4 linked regions of the Saccharomyces cerevisiae S288C genome follow. Changing the gene in region 2 together with the main gene of any one other region gives a genetic interaction. Each region holds a gene or a part of one and is shown on either strand. Other genes may lie near its edges.

Region 1 (6,257 bases), on a different chromosome or scaffold from region 2:
CATGCCGAACCTGTTGGATGAAGTGAAAAAATGGCCGGATCTATCGAACCAAAGGGACTTCTTCCAAAAAGGCACAGCCAGTCGTAAAGTTTTATTCATGAAAGGCCTGCAGTCTAACTTTATTAACAATGATTATTCCCTCCTGAGGTATAACTTTCCCTGTGCTGATGTCCGAGAATTTAATACTGGGCATAATTTACTGTTGGAGAATCCAGAGGACTCATTCAAATGTATTCTGAACTTTTTTGCGGAGGAGACGCTGGATTTTGAATAAAATCTTGATGTACGTAACGCACTTTCTTCTCGTGTCAGGCCCAAATCAACGCACACAGCAGTGCTTCGATCTTTGATTACAAAGTAGATAATGATAAATGGAATAGATAAAAGTATTAAAACAACGTCTCCTTGAAGGAGAACTATACATAAGATATGAAATAAGTAGGTATCGTTATAAGTTTATAAGGTTATGCAAGCGGAGAAAGTCTCTGCAGACATTGCTATCAAACTTCGTTCCAACCCAGGGAGTTTTGGCTAGCAATTGGTCTTGAAATTTTTGGTATGGAACTCGATGTATTGTGCCTGGTTGGAGTTGAGTCATTATTTGTCAACCCGTGACCATAGTAACTATCATCCATCCAATTTTGAATTCGCATAGATTGTGTTATGGATTCTTGAACGCTCATTCTCTTTTCATTATTGTAATTTTTCTCTCCACCAAATTCACTTGAACTGATACTGGAAATTTCTGGGTTCTTGATAATTTCTTGACTTTGAATCCGCCTTCTTATGATATACTTGAAAGCAAAAATCATGAATAAAATATATAAGCATCCACCAACAACAACGCCGATAACTAAACCAATGATTTTTTTCTTTGATTTGCTAGAAGTGGATACGTTGGAGTTAGATTTGGATGAATATTCCAAAGTACCGGCATCTTGATAGGAATTTCCGGAAGATGAAGACACACCGGAGTTCGAATTAGATCCTGAACCTGAAGATCCTGAGTTCGAATTACTGGAGGAGGATCCGTCCGAAGATCCGCCAGAGTTGCTGTTACTATCGTGTAAGAGGCCCGTTAGCGGTATTGAGGAATCAACCATTGCAGCCATAGATTTTGCTGTACCCATTCCATCCGTGTAAAAAGCGCTTGAAGAGTTGGTAATTAGATTTGACAGCTCCTCTATTTCTGCAGTTGGAAAGTATACTTCAGCAACACTTACTAAGTAGTTGAGTGAGTCATCCTGTAATGGCACTATTTGTAGTACCGTAATGTTTGTGAATACGTTCTTAAAAGGTGTGTTCAGAGCTTCAGGCAAGTATCCGAAGATTTGAGCCGATGATTTTGGTTCTGATACAACAAATTCGTAGTTCAAAGCTTTTTTGAACCCTATTGTGATTAGGGTGTAGCCCTCAGGCTCGGGAACTTGTGTCGCGGCTGCAATTGCATGGGGCAAAGTCATAGTTTGTGTTCCTCCAACGGTAGAAGATGCAGTGGATGCAGCTTCTGGTGCCTGCGTGATTAACTCAGTTGGAATCCACCAATTGTTGTCACTTGAAGTGACCAGACTAAACGTACTGGAACTGTTAGTCGTTGATGGTTCTAAAACGGTCGTCGATTCCGTTGTTAAACTCGTCTGTACATTAGTATTTGTAGCAACCTGACTTAAAGAGGATGTTGATGGTGTAAGCAACAGAGAGGATGCCTTTGAAGATGGGGTTGGCGTAGACGTTGCCACTTCCAATGGAGCGGAAGCAGAACTGCTGTTTGCGTCGGTAAAAGATAGAGTTGTGGATTGAGTAGCCGCGGTTGTCTGGATGCTATGGTATTCGGAAGCTGTTGCATTGATTGAGCTAGTAATCTCAGAAGCTTGTTGGCTAACAGAACTACTTTCAGAAAGCGCTCCATGAGTGGAAATGGTGAAACGTTGGGAGGATGTAGTGGTGGGCTGTAGTGAGCTAGATGTTTGAGAAACGGACGACCTTGAACTTGTAGAAGGCACCGGAGTGTCTGAGACTTGAGAAACGGACGATCTGGAACTTGTAGAAGGTACTGACGTGTCTGAAACTTGAGAAACGGACGAACTTGAAGTTGTATAAGAAACCGGTGTGTCTGAAACTTGAGAAACAGATGAACTTGAAGTTGTATAAGAAACTGGTGTGTCTGAAACTTGAGAAACAGACGAACTTGAAGTTGTATAAGAAACCGGTGTGTCTGAAACTTGAGAAACAGACGAACTTGAAGTTGTATAAGAAACTGGTGTGTCTGAAACTTGAGAAACAGACGAACTTGAAGTTGTATAAGACACCGATGTGTCTGAAACCTGAGAAAGTATACCAGTGGATGATATAGTGTACTGAGATGATGAGCTTGCAGAATTCATTTGAGTTGTCGTCTGAGAGGGTGAGAATTCGCTGGAAATCGAAGAAGGCATTTGAACTAAAACAGAGCTGGTAGAAAAACCTTGACTAGATGTTTCACTTCCTTCTGTTGTTGAAGACGATGCGAATGAGGAAGTTTGCAATGCAGTTGTGCTTTGTGAATAACTTACCTGGGAAGTTTCCGCAGATGTAGATGATATGAGGGATGAGGCCTCTGTAGATGCACCACCTGCAGTGGTATAGGGTGAAGTTGTAGAAACAGAACTGCTAGCTAGCACAGCTGAAGTGCTTGTAGCTTGAGACTCCGAAAGCAAACTTGAAGTGGATGGAGGCTGTGATTGCAAATTTCCTGCCATATAAGTAGACGAGGAGCCCGACAGTGTTGCAGAAGCTGTAGATGCAGCGGATTCCTCAGAACTGCCAGTACTACTTGAATATACTATAGTTGATGAAGAGGGATTGGTCATGCTAGAGCCACCTGCTTGCAGTGAAGTATAAGAAAAGGATGAACTAACTACACTTGGAGCACTGGTGCTAGCAACATCTGAGGAACTTTGTGATGGAACAAAAGATACCGAAGGGCTAACAACGCTAAAACTGCTGGAAGTACTTGCTTGTTCTGAGGCTGACAACAGCGGTATGCTTGCTGTACTGGAGACGCCATAATCTGTAAGGTCTGAACTCGACGCAGAGGAGCTAGCTAAACTTGAGCTATCCAAAGTAGTAGACTGTAGCGAAGTAGTTGATAATAATGAACTCATTGTGCTCGAGGCACTGGCACCATATACCTCTGTTGAACTTTGAAATGCGAGGGCAGATGCGGATTGCGCTACCGAAACTACGCTCCCTGAGGTACTAGTTTGCGGTGGAATATCAGAAAAGGATGAACTAACTACATTTGCAGTACTGGAGCTAGCAACGTCTGAGGAACTCTGTGATGGAACAAAAGATACCGATGGGCTAACAATGCTGAAACTGTTGGAAGTACTTGTTTGTAAAAAAGGAGCCGATAATAATGCGCTCACTGTTGATGAAACATCGGAACCATCAACTTCTGTAGATGTTAACGAAAAGGTTTCTGACATAGTTGGATTATCTGTGCTGCTTGAGCTAGCTATTTGTCCTGCGGCGCTCATGCTCACTACAGGTGAGGCGCTTGAGCCATCAACGTCTGTTGAACTTACTGGTAGAGCTGCTGATGCAGTGGTAAAACTGCTTGATTCACTTGTTTGCAGTGGGGCAGCTGATAGCGATATATCGGTAGTAGTTGGAGAACTAGGGCTACTGAAATCCGCCGAACTTTGTACTAAAATTTCACTAGAACTACTAAAATCTGCTGAACTTTGCACCGGAATGGCACCAGCAGTCGAAGTTTGGTCAAAACTTTCTGAACTATCGGTGGTTGTTAGGGAGGCAGAAATAGGGTTTGCTGACGAAAATACGTTATCAGCTGCGGACATCGTACTAGTGGAAATAAGTGGAGTGTCCGAAGTGAGAGGTGCACTCGTTGTAGTCTCTATGTTACTTGTAGTTGTGAAAGGGATAGAATTAGCACTCGTATCAATGGGAACACTGGCAGTGGAGACATCAGAAGCTGCATTTACACTAGAAGCAGCAAAATCGGCCGATGTACTGAAGGTTGGCGCATAGTAGCTTGTCGTACTGGTAGATGGCAGTTGATTAGTAGACGCGCTCCAAGAGTTTTGATTAACGGCATAGTCGGATTCTTGACTGGCATATGACACAGAAGTCTGGGAAGTGGAGCTCGCATCATACCAAGTAGATGGGAGGGAAGAGATTGTGGCACTCACTATTGTTGCAGACTGGTGCGAATGAACACCTTGAGAATAGGCTGTTACCAAAGAGGTGGTGGAACTATCCTGAGAAGCTTCATTGGTGAAAGAAACTTGACCTTGACTCTCGCTTTGGCTCTGAGCTTGTTGCGTTCCATTGCCGAATATAAAGTCGAAGGGGCTGGCCCGGGCCAATGACCCACTAATTACAAGGGTCGATAGGAGACAAGCGAATGGAAACTGCATAGATGGGTATAATTAGGAAGCCTAATGAAAAGTCAATAAAAATAGGAAACGAGGTGGAAGCCAGCTAGAGATGAACAGAATACACAATAAGTCGTTAAAGGAATGAATAATATTTTCACAAATATTTTGGTCGGTTGGAACGAGCCGAAGTCAGATGCTTTTAGTTCTTCTAAGAGAGAGCTTATTACTTCTGGAAAAAAAGAAAAAAATGGTAAAAAACAGGTAAGATTATTTTAGCAATATTATGGGGTCCCTTGGTGAGGTCGAATAGTTTTGGTAATCTATTATAAATGTAAAAATGCAGGAAATAAAGAACTTGGTACTATGGAAATGTATAAAAGTTATATATATCAGCACGAAGATGAGATAGTAAAAAAACACCCACTGGTGCTATTTTGATCTGGCAACGCCCGACGTGTCTAGCCACTTGCTGCAAAACGCCCCGAAACGGTAATTTGTTTTCGTGTCTTCGCCTGTTTCAGAGCGAGCCTTTCCCTTTTGGGACGCGCGCCAAGGCCCTTCTGTTTCAGGTCCCCAAGCGAAATTCTTTACGACTCCACAGTCTATCAGCTATCGTTTCCCCGTCCTCGTCGAAAGTCTCCCTTAGCTCATTTAAAAGGGCCTGTTTGCTCTGGTTCACGCGGATGTTCTCAAGAATGTATTCCACCAGCTCGTCCTCGTAGACGCCGAGGAATTCACGCACCAGTTCGTCCACGTAGCGCGATTCCTTCAGATTAGTTAGTCTTATGTTCAGTTCATCTGCTGTAAATGGCAAACGGTCCTCTGCCGCGCTTCTCTCGGAGGGTTTTGTTGGAGGTAGCTCGCTCTCTCTGTATCCCTCGTCTTCGCTAGAGCTTTCAACTGAGTGATCAATAGCCTTCTTAAAGTCGAATTTGATCTTGACGTGTTCTGAGCTCTCAGACACATTCTTGTCCGCGTTATAGTTCTCGCTCTTCACAGTGCCTTCAGGAAGGGTGATGGCGGCAGCCTTCCCTGCAGATATGGCCTTACCATCCGATAGTTGTATAGGCGCCAGTTCCTTTGCATTTCCATTTTTAGCTCTATCCTCTTCGTCCCTTCTTTCCTCTTGCTCCTTGAAAGATCTATGGTGGTCGTAATGAACGTCGTTGGCAAGGTGTAATAGCTCCTTCAAATATAATGAGCGATTTTTCTCCAAATGTTCCTCATAGTTTTCAGCACTCATGATATCAGCCCTAATGGATTTTATCTTAGGCTCTGTATTGGAATGTAATTGGTGTAACATATCCTCATATCTACGATTTGATTCTTCCAGGTCTCTTTCTTCTTTTCTCTTCTCTAAGGCAAGGTCGTCTTCAGTGTCATCCTCCTCATCTTCATCTTCCATATTAGTATCCTCCTCCTCTGTATTGGCGCTCCCTTTGGCTCCTGAGTGGTTTTTCCTTATTTGATCAAAAACTTTTTGCATTTGGTGTCTTTGACGCCTACTTTCCTCGTACGTACTTTTCATTTTTTTTTCTTTCTCTATACTGACAACTTTTGTCCTAAATTCTATTATATCCTTGCACAATTGGTCCAAAGCATCCGATGGCAAATCACTTAAAGTGTTTGTATCCACTTTGTATTGTGTGGAAGAGTCATCCAACTGTTCTTTCTTTGAATTTCTTTCGTCTGTTTGATCTTCAATGTTTTTGAAAACAGAATAAAATTCGCTAGCCTTTTCTGGCTTAACACTCGGTATAGTTCCTGTTCGGTCTTCGACATATTCTTTTGTGTTCAAATCCAAGTGTAACTCAATCTTGAAATCCTCATGTAGCTTTCTAATAAACGCGAATAAGGCTTTGCAGTAGTTCAGCG
Region 2 (3,595 bases):
ACATCTCCGCAGATTTATCCAAAGGTACTTCATCTATCCATAACGATACTGAGTCTGCTAACGATAGTAGCAATGGCAACGGAAACCTCGGTTTGGGTACAGAGTCACGCAATACATTGTTAACGGCAACTCCCATTGAATTAATCTGCCGGGAAGGCTTCTTCTACCGGAGAGATATTCCGGACGTTCCCATTACCACAGGAGCGTACCTGGAATTTAAATTCAAGGCGAAAGAAGAGGAATTGATCAACTCTAGCATCAATGAGGAGGATTATGCTGCTAAATCAAAGCATGAAAAAATGAATGCGCATTTCTTCAAGCCTGATATTCAAGAAGAGACGGAACTTGCCTTTGAAATTTTGAGCAAGACAACGCTGACAGAGAAATACGTTAACAGTTTGGAGTACTTCTTGATGGAATTCAGGTGGGAGAATAAACTAGTTGGTCTAGGCTTAAAACTTCGGGAATCCAAAAGAACCTGGCAAAGGAGAAAGGCGTTATTTGCCCTTTTCGAATTTTGGAGAGACCAATCAAGAGACAAAAGAAGATTCCACAACTACACCATCCTGCATGCGGTGAAAGAGATGGAAAACTACAGAATATTTATTAATCGATCCGTTTCATGGTTCTACAACCATATTACCCTGCTAAAAATGATCCTCTACGACCTCTGCGACAATGTGACCACTCAATGGAGAGAGTGGATGTTTCCCCATAACGAAACACTGCCGGCATTGGGTCAGGACGGCATTAACGAAGACAATCTGAATGAAACCATCGACAACATGTTAATTTTTGACTTCCTTGATGACGGTTCAGAAAACAACCAGGTCAAATATTCCAGAATCATACCGCCAGATATCCGTTAAGCTGGTCCGTACGTTGGGGCAGTTTCGAGAATAGATAAAAAAATGAAAAATAAAAAAAAATAAAAAAAACACAAAATAATGGACCGTTACTATGCCCAACCAAGTAACCTCCCAACTTATTTGGAACATTACATATTTAGCGCTTAACATTACATACATATTTAGCGCTTAACATTACATACACCTTTATCGACGAATTTGTAACTATTTCTTACTCTTGCGCTGAGGAACGCCCCAGTCGTACAAAAGCACCTCTGCATACTAAGAAACTTAAACTATCGCCATTGTCTCAAAATAGCAAAAAACGCAAAAAGCATACCGCTGGGCGCTTATCTATATTAACCTACACGAGAAAAGAAACATGATTGACTGCGTCAGATTCAAAAACCTGCAAAGTTTGTTTTTATAATTTTGGCGTTCAGCAAGCGCGCGGCTCCGCTCCATTAATATTCCAGAAAAAGAAATTCCTTCTTTGGGTGTTGTGTATTGCTACTTTGGGCAGGCGCGACCGGGCCAAAAGAATGCGGCACCCGGCAAAGACGCGTTCTGGCCCCTGAAGACTTAAGCACTGGAATGGCTCCGAGGATTGGTCACCCAGAAACAGGTGCAGACCAACCATTTCGAGATCTAGATGTTGCCTATTTCTCGAGGAAACGCTGCCGTTATCGCCATGTTTGGTGGAACAATTGTGAAACGTGATCAATTCGTGTTTGCAAGCTAGTGATCATTCGCATCCGAAAAAGAAACTGAAAATGTAAAACTCCAGTAAAACGAGACCTGTTGATGGATTGTTTCGTGTCTGGTATATATTATTGCTACTGCTCAAGAGAGCTTCTTTTTTTATGCTATCGAACTCGATCTTTCGCTCCGAAACACCTAACACTAACAAAAGGAATACCTGACAGAATACGCTATCAAAAGAACGAATATGACTAGTGCAAGTATTACCAATACTGGAAACGAAACCATGAACCTTCCACAGATGCGGTCGATTTGGCTGGATGAAGATGAAGAAGCTGAAAAACTCTACGGTCTGCAGGCCCAGCAATTCATGGGATCTGATGATGAAGAAAACCTAGGCATTACTTTCATCAACAGCGATAAACCTGTGCTGAGTAACAAGAAAAACATTGAGTTGCCTCCACTTTCACCAAATTCACATCCGTCTTGCCACCACAGGAGAAGTAATTCTAACTCTGCAAAGTCTAAAGAATCATCGTCATCATCGTCCAGCGCCAACAAGACAAATCACAAAAAGGTTTTCCTTAAGCTTAATTTGTTGAAGAAAAAGTTGCTTGGTGCCCAACCGGACATAAGAGGTAAAGGTATCTCCACACCATTTGATTTTCAACATATTTCACATGCTGACACTAGAAATGGATTCCAAGATGAGCAATTGCAGGAACCTTCATCGCTGTCCACAGAGATTAAGGACGACTATACCTCCTCCTCAAGCAAGCGGGATTCGAAATCACTAAATAAAGCTTTTGTCACTGAAAGGATCCCTGCTAATCGTGAAAGCAAACTCATTTCAAGATCGCACGAAAATAAGACATCAAGACTATCAGTCGCGCGTTCGATCTCAGTAACGTCCTCCAATTACTCTAAAAACACACAAGGAAACAATCATTCCATTAATGGGAGAGTCGTATCTACGTCAACTATGGCTACATCTATTTTTGAGTATTCCCCAAACGCATCTCCAAAACAATTTAAAAATAAGTCACACGCTCTGGGTCATAGATACACTAATTCCACGGATTCTAGTGAGTCTTCGCTGGATTTTTTGAAGAACTACAACTTCCCCACACTACTTGAAGATAAGCCTATTTTAGACTTCTTGCCTCGTTCTCAGAGGTCAAGCGCTTATCGTAGCCTTTTAGAGACCCCAAACTCAAATAAGGACTCAGCAAAAGCCTTCTTTCCTTCACGCCAAAGCCCTCTTCCCAAGAGAAGAAACTCTATAGCTACGCCTTCTCCACAATCTAAATTTTCCTACTCTGACTCCCCTGTAAACCATAGAAAATCTTTCGATGATGTTCTTTATTCTTTCAACCAGCTCGAGCCCCTGCAAACTTAAGCTAAGGACAGAAAATGAAAAAAAAAAAAAAAAAAAATTCAAAGAATCAGCTTATAAAACATATTCAAGGACCATCTGAAGTATCATTCATTCGTTTTTTACTCGTTAATCTCATTCATTCGTTTCCTCATTCTTTTTTCTTTGTTCTTTATTTCGGCTATTTTTTCACTATTAAAATAACTAGAGCTAACAATATTATTTCTTCTGCTTTAGTTACAAAACAAGGACATTCATTTAACTTGGCGTTATCCCATACATTCGTTTATTATATCTTCTTTTAAAACACAATTTCTTTTACAGTTAAACTTTTCTGATTTATTATATATTACTTAAGATTGTTCATATAACTAACATTTATATGCTTATATGCGTGAAGTGCGCTTTTGTAGAACATGTGGCTGTTTCTGTAGAAGCCTTGTCTTTCTCTGTAATCCTTTAAAGGCCAACCGTACGTGCTTAATTACAAGCTTTGTTCGCATTGCAAGAAAGTTAGAAAAAAAATCAATTCTGAAAGATAATTATAATTCAAACGGTAAACCATTGGTTAAAAGAGGGACATAACATTTCACTAGTTCAATACATTATATGCTCTTTAACAATGACAGATAGATTAACACAATTGCAGATATGTTTAGACCAAATGACG
Region 3 (5,158 bases), on a different chromosome or scaffold from region 2:
ACATAAATGAATCTACGAACTTTACCCAAATTTTATCCACCGTAGAACCCAAAGCATTAGGTATGTGAATATTTTATCACTAAATTTATTGAAAAGAGAACGTTACTAACAGTGGAATTTTTTTTTCTAGAAATGGTATCGGATTCAACAAGGGAAACCGTTTTAAAGCAAATAAGGGAATTTCTTGAAGAGATTGTAGATACACAATGAAGGATACGAAAATGCACCTTAATTCCCAATATTATTACATATGCTCATCGGGAAAACCTTTTAAGCAATAATAGATTTTAAGTATGTAATGATACAAATAATAATATATTTATATACGCATATATTTACATGTGCATATATGAAAAATAACCTAATTCACGTTACCCACCTTTTTTTTTAGCCTTTTCTTTATTTATATATGTATCCACAACATAATGAATGAATTGTGAGCTACACAACATTTCTCGTTGATTATAAATTAGTAGATTAATTTTTTGAATGCAAACTTTTTAGTCGTCGTAGTTTTCATCTTCTTCCACTTGCCTTACTACATTTTCTCTTGGAAGTGTGTTCTCCTGTGGGGATTTTTCTTGAGATGTTTGCTCTTCCTCACGCATTTTGGCCTCCTCTTTCACTGTTTCCATTGTTTCCAAAGTAGGTTTGATTACAGTTATCGTTGTAGCAGCGGTTTCATCTTGTTGTTTTTCAGCATCTCTGGAAGCTGCTGGCTCCGCCTCTTCAGTAGAAGGTGCAGATGCTTCAGTTGTGCCGTTTTCCTCTTTAGAATGCTGTCTTACTTCGTCTTCTACAGGGCTTGCTTCTGCAGGAACAGTAGCAGTAGAAAGTTCTATGGTCTCAGCAGTGCTTTGGTCATTTGCTTTTGTTGTTGAACTTTCTGATGATACAGTTGGTTGGACACTAGATGACTCTGGTTCCGTATTAAGCGGTTTTGTAGAAGGAGAAACAGAAGCTGCTTTGGTAGCTTCTTCAGCAGGACTAGCTTCCTGTGGAGGTTCCTGTGCGCCAATTACTGAAGGTATTGAGTTTGCTTTTACAGGTTTTTCTTCTTGTGAAGTATTATTGGTATTAGACTCCACTACTGCTGGCGATTGGTTGCTCACCTCAGATTTTGCATTTTCTTCAATGGAAGTAGCAGTATTTACTAATTTGTTGATGTTTGAATTTGGAGAGTTCAACTTTTGCTTCTTTACCTGTGGTTCAGCGTTCGTTATTCCTGTTGCGGGAGCTTGCGTTGGAATGGCATGGGTTGGTTGACGAGGAGACTTTGTGTTATTCTCTGTGTGGGTGCTACTGGATACGGCGGCATCTACTAAAGTGTGGATTGCACCTTCCATGTATCTCTTTTGAGGTAAAACGTTCTGTTCCACGTTATGCTGGATTAAAGGTTGGGGAGCTTGGGCTTGAGGCTGGCCTTGAAGTTGTTGTGGATGTTGAACAGATTGTAGTTGTTGCTGTTGAGGTGGCAGTTGAGAGCTTTGCGGATGTTCCATAGCTTGTGTAGAAAATGGTTGCAGTTGGTGAGCTTGTATGACTGTTGGCTGTGTGATATATGGTTGCCCTTGTTGAGGATTTAACATTTGCACAGAAACTCCCTTTTGCTGCAGCTGTTGTCTTGGTAGGGGCTGTAATTGCTGCTGCTGTTGTTGTTGTTGTTGTTGTTGTTGTTGTTGTTGTTGTTGTTGTTGTTGTTGTTGTTGTTGCTGTTGTTGTTGTTGTTGTTGTGCCTGCGCCTGTGCTTGTGCTTGTGCCTGTGCTTGTGCTTGTGCTTGCGCTTGTGCATGTGCTTGTGCTTGTGCTTGTGCCTGTGCTTGCGCCTGTGCTTGTGCTTGTGCTTGCGCTTGTGCTTGTGCTTGTGCTTGAGCTTGTGCTTGTGCTTGAGCTTGTGCTTGAGCTTGAGCTTGAGCTTGAGCTTGTAATTGAGGGGAAGCTCCATTACTGTACATTGTTGCAGAAGAGTTAATAGGCGTTTGTTGAGCAGGATGCTGTTGTTGTACCATTGAAGCAGTAGCATTGGCAGATTGGGCTGAAATTCTAGTGTTCAAAGGATTTCCTTGATCATTAGGTTGTAAGGTAGGTTGTAAAATCACAGGAGGTGGGGCAGGAGAGGCATTCGTTGGCGCACCGTTCGATTTGTTTATATTGCCTGGGTTTTCTAACTGCTTTGTTAAAGCTTCTAATCTTTCTCTTATGTGAACATTATTTACGTCCAGTCTTGCAGCTTGCTTATACGCATCAAGGGCGTCAGATAATTGGTTGTTACAAGTTTCGTAAAGAGTACCTAGATCGTACCAAACTTCACTAATATAAGGATTTAATCTTATGGCTCTTGTGTACGCGTCTAAGGCGTCTCTGTATTGAGAAATTTGGTAATATAAAACACCGATTGAGCACCAAAAGATAGGGTTTCTTGAATCTCTATTAACAGCTTGTTGGAAAGCATCATATGCGGCAGTATAATCTGTTCTAATCATATGCACTCTACCGAGATGGTACCATGTAGTGGCATCGGAGGGATCTGCTTCTAACGACTTTAGAAGATAATCCAATGCCTTTTGAGGGTCATAAAATTGTACGTTACTCATACCGTAAAGACAACCTAATTGTTGTAATACTTTGGCATGATGTTGATTTTGAGCCAAGACATGCTCGTAGGCTTCCTTCGCACCTTGCCACTCTCCCATACTCTCCAAAACACTACCCAACTGAAACCATATGTCCCACTCCTGCAAGGGAGCAGGAGGTTGAGGGAGAATGTATCTGAAGCATTCCAAAGCTTGAGACCATTTACCCTGATGTTTATAAATAATACCTAGTCTGAAGTAAATTTCGTTTGCCTTTTCAAAATGAGGGTCCAATTCCAAAACTTTGGCAAAAGCTTCTTCGGCATAGTCGAGCGAACCATATCTGTCATAAAGAATGCCGATTCCATGCCATAATTTCGGTACGTTGGGATTACTGAGGTGGTAGAGAGCCTGTTGATAGGCATTGTAAGCTCTTTGCAGATCATCCAGCATCAGATAACAATGACCTAAAGTAGCCCACACATCTGATAGTTCGGGATTTACCAAAAGTGCTCTTTCATATAATTCTGCAGCTCTTTGGAACATGTCTCTGGAACGGTACAAGTGAGCCAAAGATGTTAAAGCCTTTGCAGATGAGGGATTGAACTGTAAAGTGGCGTCATATGCCATTGCGGCCCTGTCGCCATCACCAAGGGTTTCTGCCAAAGAAGCAATGGAGAGCCAAGTTTCCGCAGTTGATTGTGTTAATGGGTCGAGTGGCTGCTGAGGAACTGCTGCCTGCTGTTGCTGTTGCTGCTGTTGTTGTTGCTGTTGTTGTTGCTGTTGAGCGGGTTGTTCCATTATTGTTTGTTCACCGCCCGGATTCATTTTTCCTAATTTTTTTTTTCCAGTCGTGTTTTGTTTGTTGTTGTTGCTGTTGTAGTTGTAGTACTAGTCTAAAGGCTTATAGCAGTGAAAAAGAAAAACAGAAATATGGGAAAAGAGGTAACGGGAATACGCCTCTGGTTCAAAGACTAGTGACGTTGTCGTATTTGGCTTTGTTGATTCTAGTTCTCTCAATTGAACTCCTGACGTGGTTTGTAAAAAAACAGAGAACAGGAAACAAAAAACAAAAAGACAAAGAAAAAAATGCGCTTTTGCTTTGATAATCGGAAGGGAAAAGAACGACCGACCGAAGAAAAGAAAAATAAAATAAATTTAAACAAACCTTGTTCGAGTTGGATAGGGGAAAAACGCCAAAAAAAGATGGAGTACAGTACGCGGGAGACCAGTGGCTAGCGACGGGAGTAGCAACGATCGAGAAAGGAGTAGCGCAGAGAAAAGAAAGAAAATAGAGAGATAAAATAATTAGAGCCGATACGGCACCCGTGCGATACGAGACAGGACGGAACAGTCCGGTACGTGTGGTAAGTTTTACGAAACGAGAGGACACGGCATGACATGGCCCACGTTATAAGGCAATTTCCATTTTAGCATTGGCAAACGCACAAGCACAAAAAAGATGTGGAACAACCACTAAGAACGGAGTGTGCACGAAAAAAATAAGCTTTTCTCGTGCCCTGAGTGGTGCACAAAAGAAGAAAAGGGAAAAAAAAAGCGAACGAGGAGTGACGTGGACGCGATGAAGGTGACTCAGCCAATCCGGGTGAGCCGCACCCTTCGTCCTCAGTGACCTCTCACGTGCCCTGTATCAGCCAGCCACTGACAGTTTTGTTTTTGCCGCCCAGCTCAAAACTCAGATCGGATGTGCTTTAGTTTTTATCTTCGTTATGTGGATGTTTCATTAGCTTAAAGCATAGGATACCGAGAAACCGTAACGGTTTCATGTTGACCGGTTTTTGAGTTTATGGTTTTAAAGTTCGTCAGTTGTTCCGACGCTTAGATTTTAAGGAGCTTGTCAAAATGCCTAAACCACAATCCTTACAGCACTCAAAATCAACAAAAAGTGAGAAGGTTTGAAAGTAGTACATCCCCTCTTCCCTTTGATTTTTAGCCGCCAAAACTACCAACCCACACAGCACAAAATGTGTTACTCCTCGAAAAAATCTGTTACCCTTTTCCCGCCATGGTTGCCAGGGAAACAGTGGGGACTTCTGCGTTGCTTCTATTTTTCCCCCCTCCTTCCTCCTGCGCCTCCGTTTCTTTTTCTTCCCTTTTCATTTCCCTTTTCTTTTTTTTTTCAAGTTTCGGATTAACGCTATAAAAAAAATGCACAGATAGGACCTTAAGGACTAATAAAACCGACAGTATAACGACGTAATGCTGCGTGGTGTTTTCAAACCTTAGTAGTTTTGGTAATTTTAGATACTCTTGGCCGTATAACTGGTGTACCAACTGAAAAATCATGCAAGAAGGGGGCTTTATCCGTAGAAGGCGTACGAGAAGTACGAAAAAAAGTGTTAATTATAATGAACTAAGCGATGACGATACAGCTGTGAAAAACTCAAAAACTCTGCAGCTGAAAGGGAACAGCGAAAACGTAAATGACAGCCAAGATGAAGAATACCGTGATGATGCTACGCTCGTGAAATCACCCGACGACGATGACAAAGATTTTATCATAGACCTAACAGGTTCAGATAAAGAGCGGACCGCCACCGATGAGAATACTCATGCGATCAAGA
Region 4 (3,568 bases), on a different chromosome or scaffold from region 2:
GGGAGCACTGGTAATGGCAACGGAGGACCCTTGCATATAACAAGTCTCTTCAACACATCAAGAAGAACTAGGCTAGGCTCTGCCCCTAACAACGCTGGTGAAGATTCAGATAATAATTCTATACGCACCACTAGTACCAACAATACAAAAAAGACCACACAAAATTCCAGTGATGACGGCAAGAATAAAGTGTTGTATGCATACGTACAAAAGGATGATGACGAAATCACCATTACGCCAGGAGACAAAATCTCTTTGGTTGCACGCGATACGGGTTCTGGATGGACTAAGATAAATAACGACACCACTGGGGAAACCGGCCTTGTACCCACCACATATATTCGCATATCTAGCGCGGCTACAGTTAAAGCAAATGATAGAGGCCCTGCACCAGAAGTACCACCACCAAGAAGGAGTACACTACCTGTTAGGACGATGGAGGCCATATATGCCTACGAAGCACAGGGAGATGATGAGATTTCAATTGATCCGGGGGACATAATTACTGTTATCAGAGGCGATGACGGTAGCGGGTGGACATATGGTGAATGTGACGGATTGAAAGGTCTATTTCCTACAAGTTACTGTAAATGAACGAAGGAATGAACTGAAACTATTAAATATTTTCCCTGGCCGCCACTTTTTTGAGAGGTATGACGACTCTATGTTATATATATATATATATATATATATATATATAGCACAAAATTTCATGTGATCAATCTACTAGGCGAACACCTAAATTGTTATTTATTTCCATGTCTATATCCATTTCAATGTCTGGCTCATCTTCGTCCTCGTTTTCGAATTCGGATTCAGATTCGGATTCCAAGGTAGTCTCCAAATCACAGTTTGTCCTACAGTTCGGACACATGAATTGAGGATAATTCATAATAACCAATCTTCTTACACAATGAAAATGCCAACTATGGGCACATGGTGATATAAAAATGGCTTGGCAAGGTTTTATTTTGTTTAGACAAATGGAACAGTCTTCTTGTTCTAAACCAGTAGTTAGTTTCTGTAGATTTTTTATTCGGCTCAAGGCTTCTTTATTAAATGCATTGGCCTTTAATTTCCAAGACTTGTTCAATTCTATTTTCATCTTAACACAACGATATATCTCTTCCGTCCCGCCGCGAAAGTCCATACCCAGCTGTATGATATCTCCGTCATGTAAAAGGTAGTCCTTAGAAGTGGTAGACGCAGAAGATAGACGCTGGTGGTTCAAAAAGGTCCCACTGGAAGACTTGACATCTTTCAAAAACCAGTTTCCTTGGTCATCAACTTTGAAACACCCATGGGTCCTGGATATCACTTTTGATTTGAACACTACGGGATGATACTGATCTGGAATTTTGGAAATTGCCTCTCTTACTCTTTCGGTGTATCTTCCGATGATAATTTGCGAGCCTGCGCCCGCAGTCCTGATAATGGGGTCAAAGAAAAGACCCTGGTTAGCCACAGACGTGGATGAAGTATCTATAAACGGGGTTAGCCTAATGCTGAAAAGCCCGTGCTTGTCCATTCTGCGTTTCAAAGTAGATTGGTCTATCCGTTCCGGTAGCGAGGTATTTGGTGGGAGATGTATATCAAGTGAAAACTCCGTCTGATTGACTTGGTTTGGAGGATATATGAAATGGCGGATACTCTTTGTAGTGTTCACCGCGGGGGCTGTATTCGTCTCCACAGTGGCAGCAGCAGCAGCAGTAGCACCAACATTGCCGTTTGCGCTACCGTTATTTGCAACGACTAAAGAAGTAGCCGTACGCGAGGGCAAAATACCTAAACCATTGCTAACGCTATTATTATTGCTGTTATTGTTAGGCGTATCGTTAATGGTGAGAGAGATGGATATCGGTAGTCTGATGGGATTGTTGAACTTGGTGTGATCGTGAGAGGTAGCGATGCCAGAAGCAGCAGGTGGCGTCTGGTTTGGGGGAGATGAGGGAACAGTATTAGTAGACATCCAGGAATAACCACTATACAGAACGTATGTGCACAGGAAATCGACACTGTAAGAAGAAAAGCTCACGGCACAAGAGTCAGAAACAGGGCAGTGAACAAAGAACGAGAAGTACGGTTTACAGTTGAGCCGTACACCGAGTTCCTCTTTGAATAATATCGAACCTATACACTAATGCACTAATGTGTTTCTGTTCACACCCAGAATTCTAAGGCTCCTGCTGATCCCAATGCTAAGGTTTATCAATTTTCTCATTCTCTTTGTGGGCCGTAAACAGTGATATTCTCTCACGAGAGCGCTTAAAGAGAATGGAGAAGCCCAGCCCCACCAGGCGGCAAACTAGTAGTCTCTCCACTATCTCCAACGGTATGACCATGACCAACGATAATAGGGATACCACAAATACCAACAGTGGCTCTACAAGCAGCAACAATTCACAACCATCTTCGTCTTCCACGCCACCAGCGGCCAGTGGACCCGTAACGGACAGAACCAAAGTCAACTATGTACCAAAGAGCGACGATCCGTCGTCATTTCAATACTACCCAGACGACCCGGAGAACCCGGTCAATAAGTATAAATTCGCGTTAAAGGCTGACAGTCAGTACTATGATCCTTGTGAGGAGTCCTCCAAGCTCAGTTTTCAGTGCCTCGAGCGCAACGATTACGACCGATCCAAGTGCCAAGAATATTTTGACGCATACCGCGAATGCAAGAAACAATGGCTGACAGCCAGGAGGAAAAACAGACAGCAGTGGGAATGAGGCAGCCTTTTCTTCTTGTTTGTTCAGCTGTGATCTGTTTTCTATATAGATCGCCACTACGCGACGTAGTGTTCCGACAGGCAGCCACAGCACACTCTAGTGCAATGTGAAAAACTAATTCGCAATGGTATGTAAATAAGCAAGCTAAATTGGATTTTCAAAGTGCGAATAAAGAATTTTTTGTATATATCTCTACATACTTGTATATACCGAACATAAGAAGCTCTTATGGCCGAAAACTCCCTCCTGAGGTTTATCACCAAGAACAAAGTGGCCATCCTAGCAACGGTCTCTGCGGGGACTGCTGCTGTGGGTGCTTATGTTTACTACCAGCAAATTAAGCAGCAGCAACAGCAGCAATTGAAGGGTACAAAAGACAACCGACGTCAAAGTGAGGCCTTTGCTGGTCAAAATGAAGACGAGGCGGACTTAAAGGACGACGGCAGCGTCGTAAGTGGAAGTAATAAGAGGAAGAAGAAGAAGAATAAACGCAAGAGGAACAATAAGGCAAAATCGGGAGAAGGGTTTGACTATCCCTCCTTGCCCAATGGCGAGCCTGATATTGCCCAATTGAAAGGCCTATCACCCTCCCAGAGACAAGCGTATGCCGTGCAACTGAAGAACAGAGGTAACCACTTCTTCACTGCTAAGAATTTTAATGAGGCCATCAAATACTACCAGTATGCCATTGAGCTGGACCCGAATGAACCAGTGTTCTATTCCAACATATCTGCTTGTTACATTTCTACGGGCGACTTAGAGAAGGTTATAGAGTTCACTACAAAGGCACTTGAGATAAAACCTGACCATTCTAAAGCCTTGCTGAGACGTGCATCTG

What was found.
Region 1: of GIC2 (region 2) and MSB2, extra expression of one rescues a mutant of the other (dosage rescue), as found in Saccharomyces cerevisiae (2 studies listed by BioGRID).
Region 3: of GIC2 (region 2) and CYC8, extra expression of one rescues a mutant of the other (dosage rescue), as found in Saccharomyces cerevisiae (one study listed by BioGRID).
Region 4: mutations in GIC2 (region 2) and DMA1 impair growth when combined (synthetic growth defect), as found in Saccharomyces cerevisiae (one study listed by BioGRID).

The regions. Positions count from the first base shown.
Region 1 is NC_001139.9:515,107-521,363, reverse strand, and holds MSB2 (Msb2p), read right to left. Parts: upstream 4,422-6,257; coding exon 501-4,421; downstream 1-500. Other genes in the region: EAT1 (putative hydrolase), read left to right, coding at 1-274; SNU71 (Snu71p), read right to left, coding at 4,948-6,257. UniProt on the Saccharomyces cerevisiae protein: Plasma membrane signaling mucin that promotes activation of the MAPK for the filamentous growth pathway. Partially redundant with the SHO1 osmosensing branch for the activation of STE11.
Region 2 is NC_001136.10:1,078,402-1,081,996, reverse strand, and holds GIC2 (Gic2p), read left to right. Parts: upstream 1-1,797; coding exon 1,798-2,949; downstream 2,950-3,595. Other genes in the region: SUM1 (Sum1p), read left to right, coding at 1-869; SRB7 (Srb7p), read left to right, coding at 3,548-3,595. UniProt on the Saccharomyces cerevisiae protein: Required for cell size and shape control, bud site selection, bud emergence, actin cytoskeletal organization, mitotic spindle orientation/positioning, and mating projection formation in response to mating pheromone.
Region 3 is NC_001134.8:462,370-467,527, forward strand, and holds CYC8 (transcription regulator CYC8), read right to left. Parts: upstream 3,402-5,158; coding exon 501-3,401; downstream 1-500. Other genes in the region: SUS1 (Sus1p), read left to right, coding at 1-60, 131-210; DNA repair protein RAD16, read left to right, coding at 4,879-5,158. UniProt on the Saccharomyces cerevisiae protein: Acts as a component of the CYC8-TUP1 corepressor complex which is involved in the repression of many genes in a wide variety of physiological processes including heme-regulated and catabolite repressed genes.
Region 4 is NC_001140.6:339,391-342,958, forward strand, and holds DMA1 (ubiquitin-conjugating protein DMA1), read right to left. Parts: upstream 1,970-3,568; coding exon 719-1,969; downstream 1-718. Other genes in the region: BZZ1 (Bzz1p), read left to right, coding at 1-594; COX23 (Cox23p), read left to right, coding at 2,275-2,730; protein channel TOM71, read left to right, coding at 2,959-3,568. UniProt on the Saccharomyces cerevisiae protein: E3 ubiquitin-protein ligase which functions in cell cycle retarding in conjunction with the UBC4 and UBC13/MMS2 complex, 2 E2 ubiquitin conjugating enzymes. Involved in nutritional control of the cell cycle. Targets the G1 cyclin PCL1 for destruction.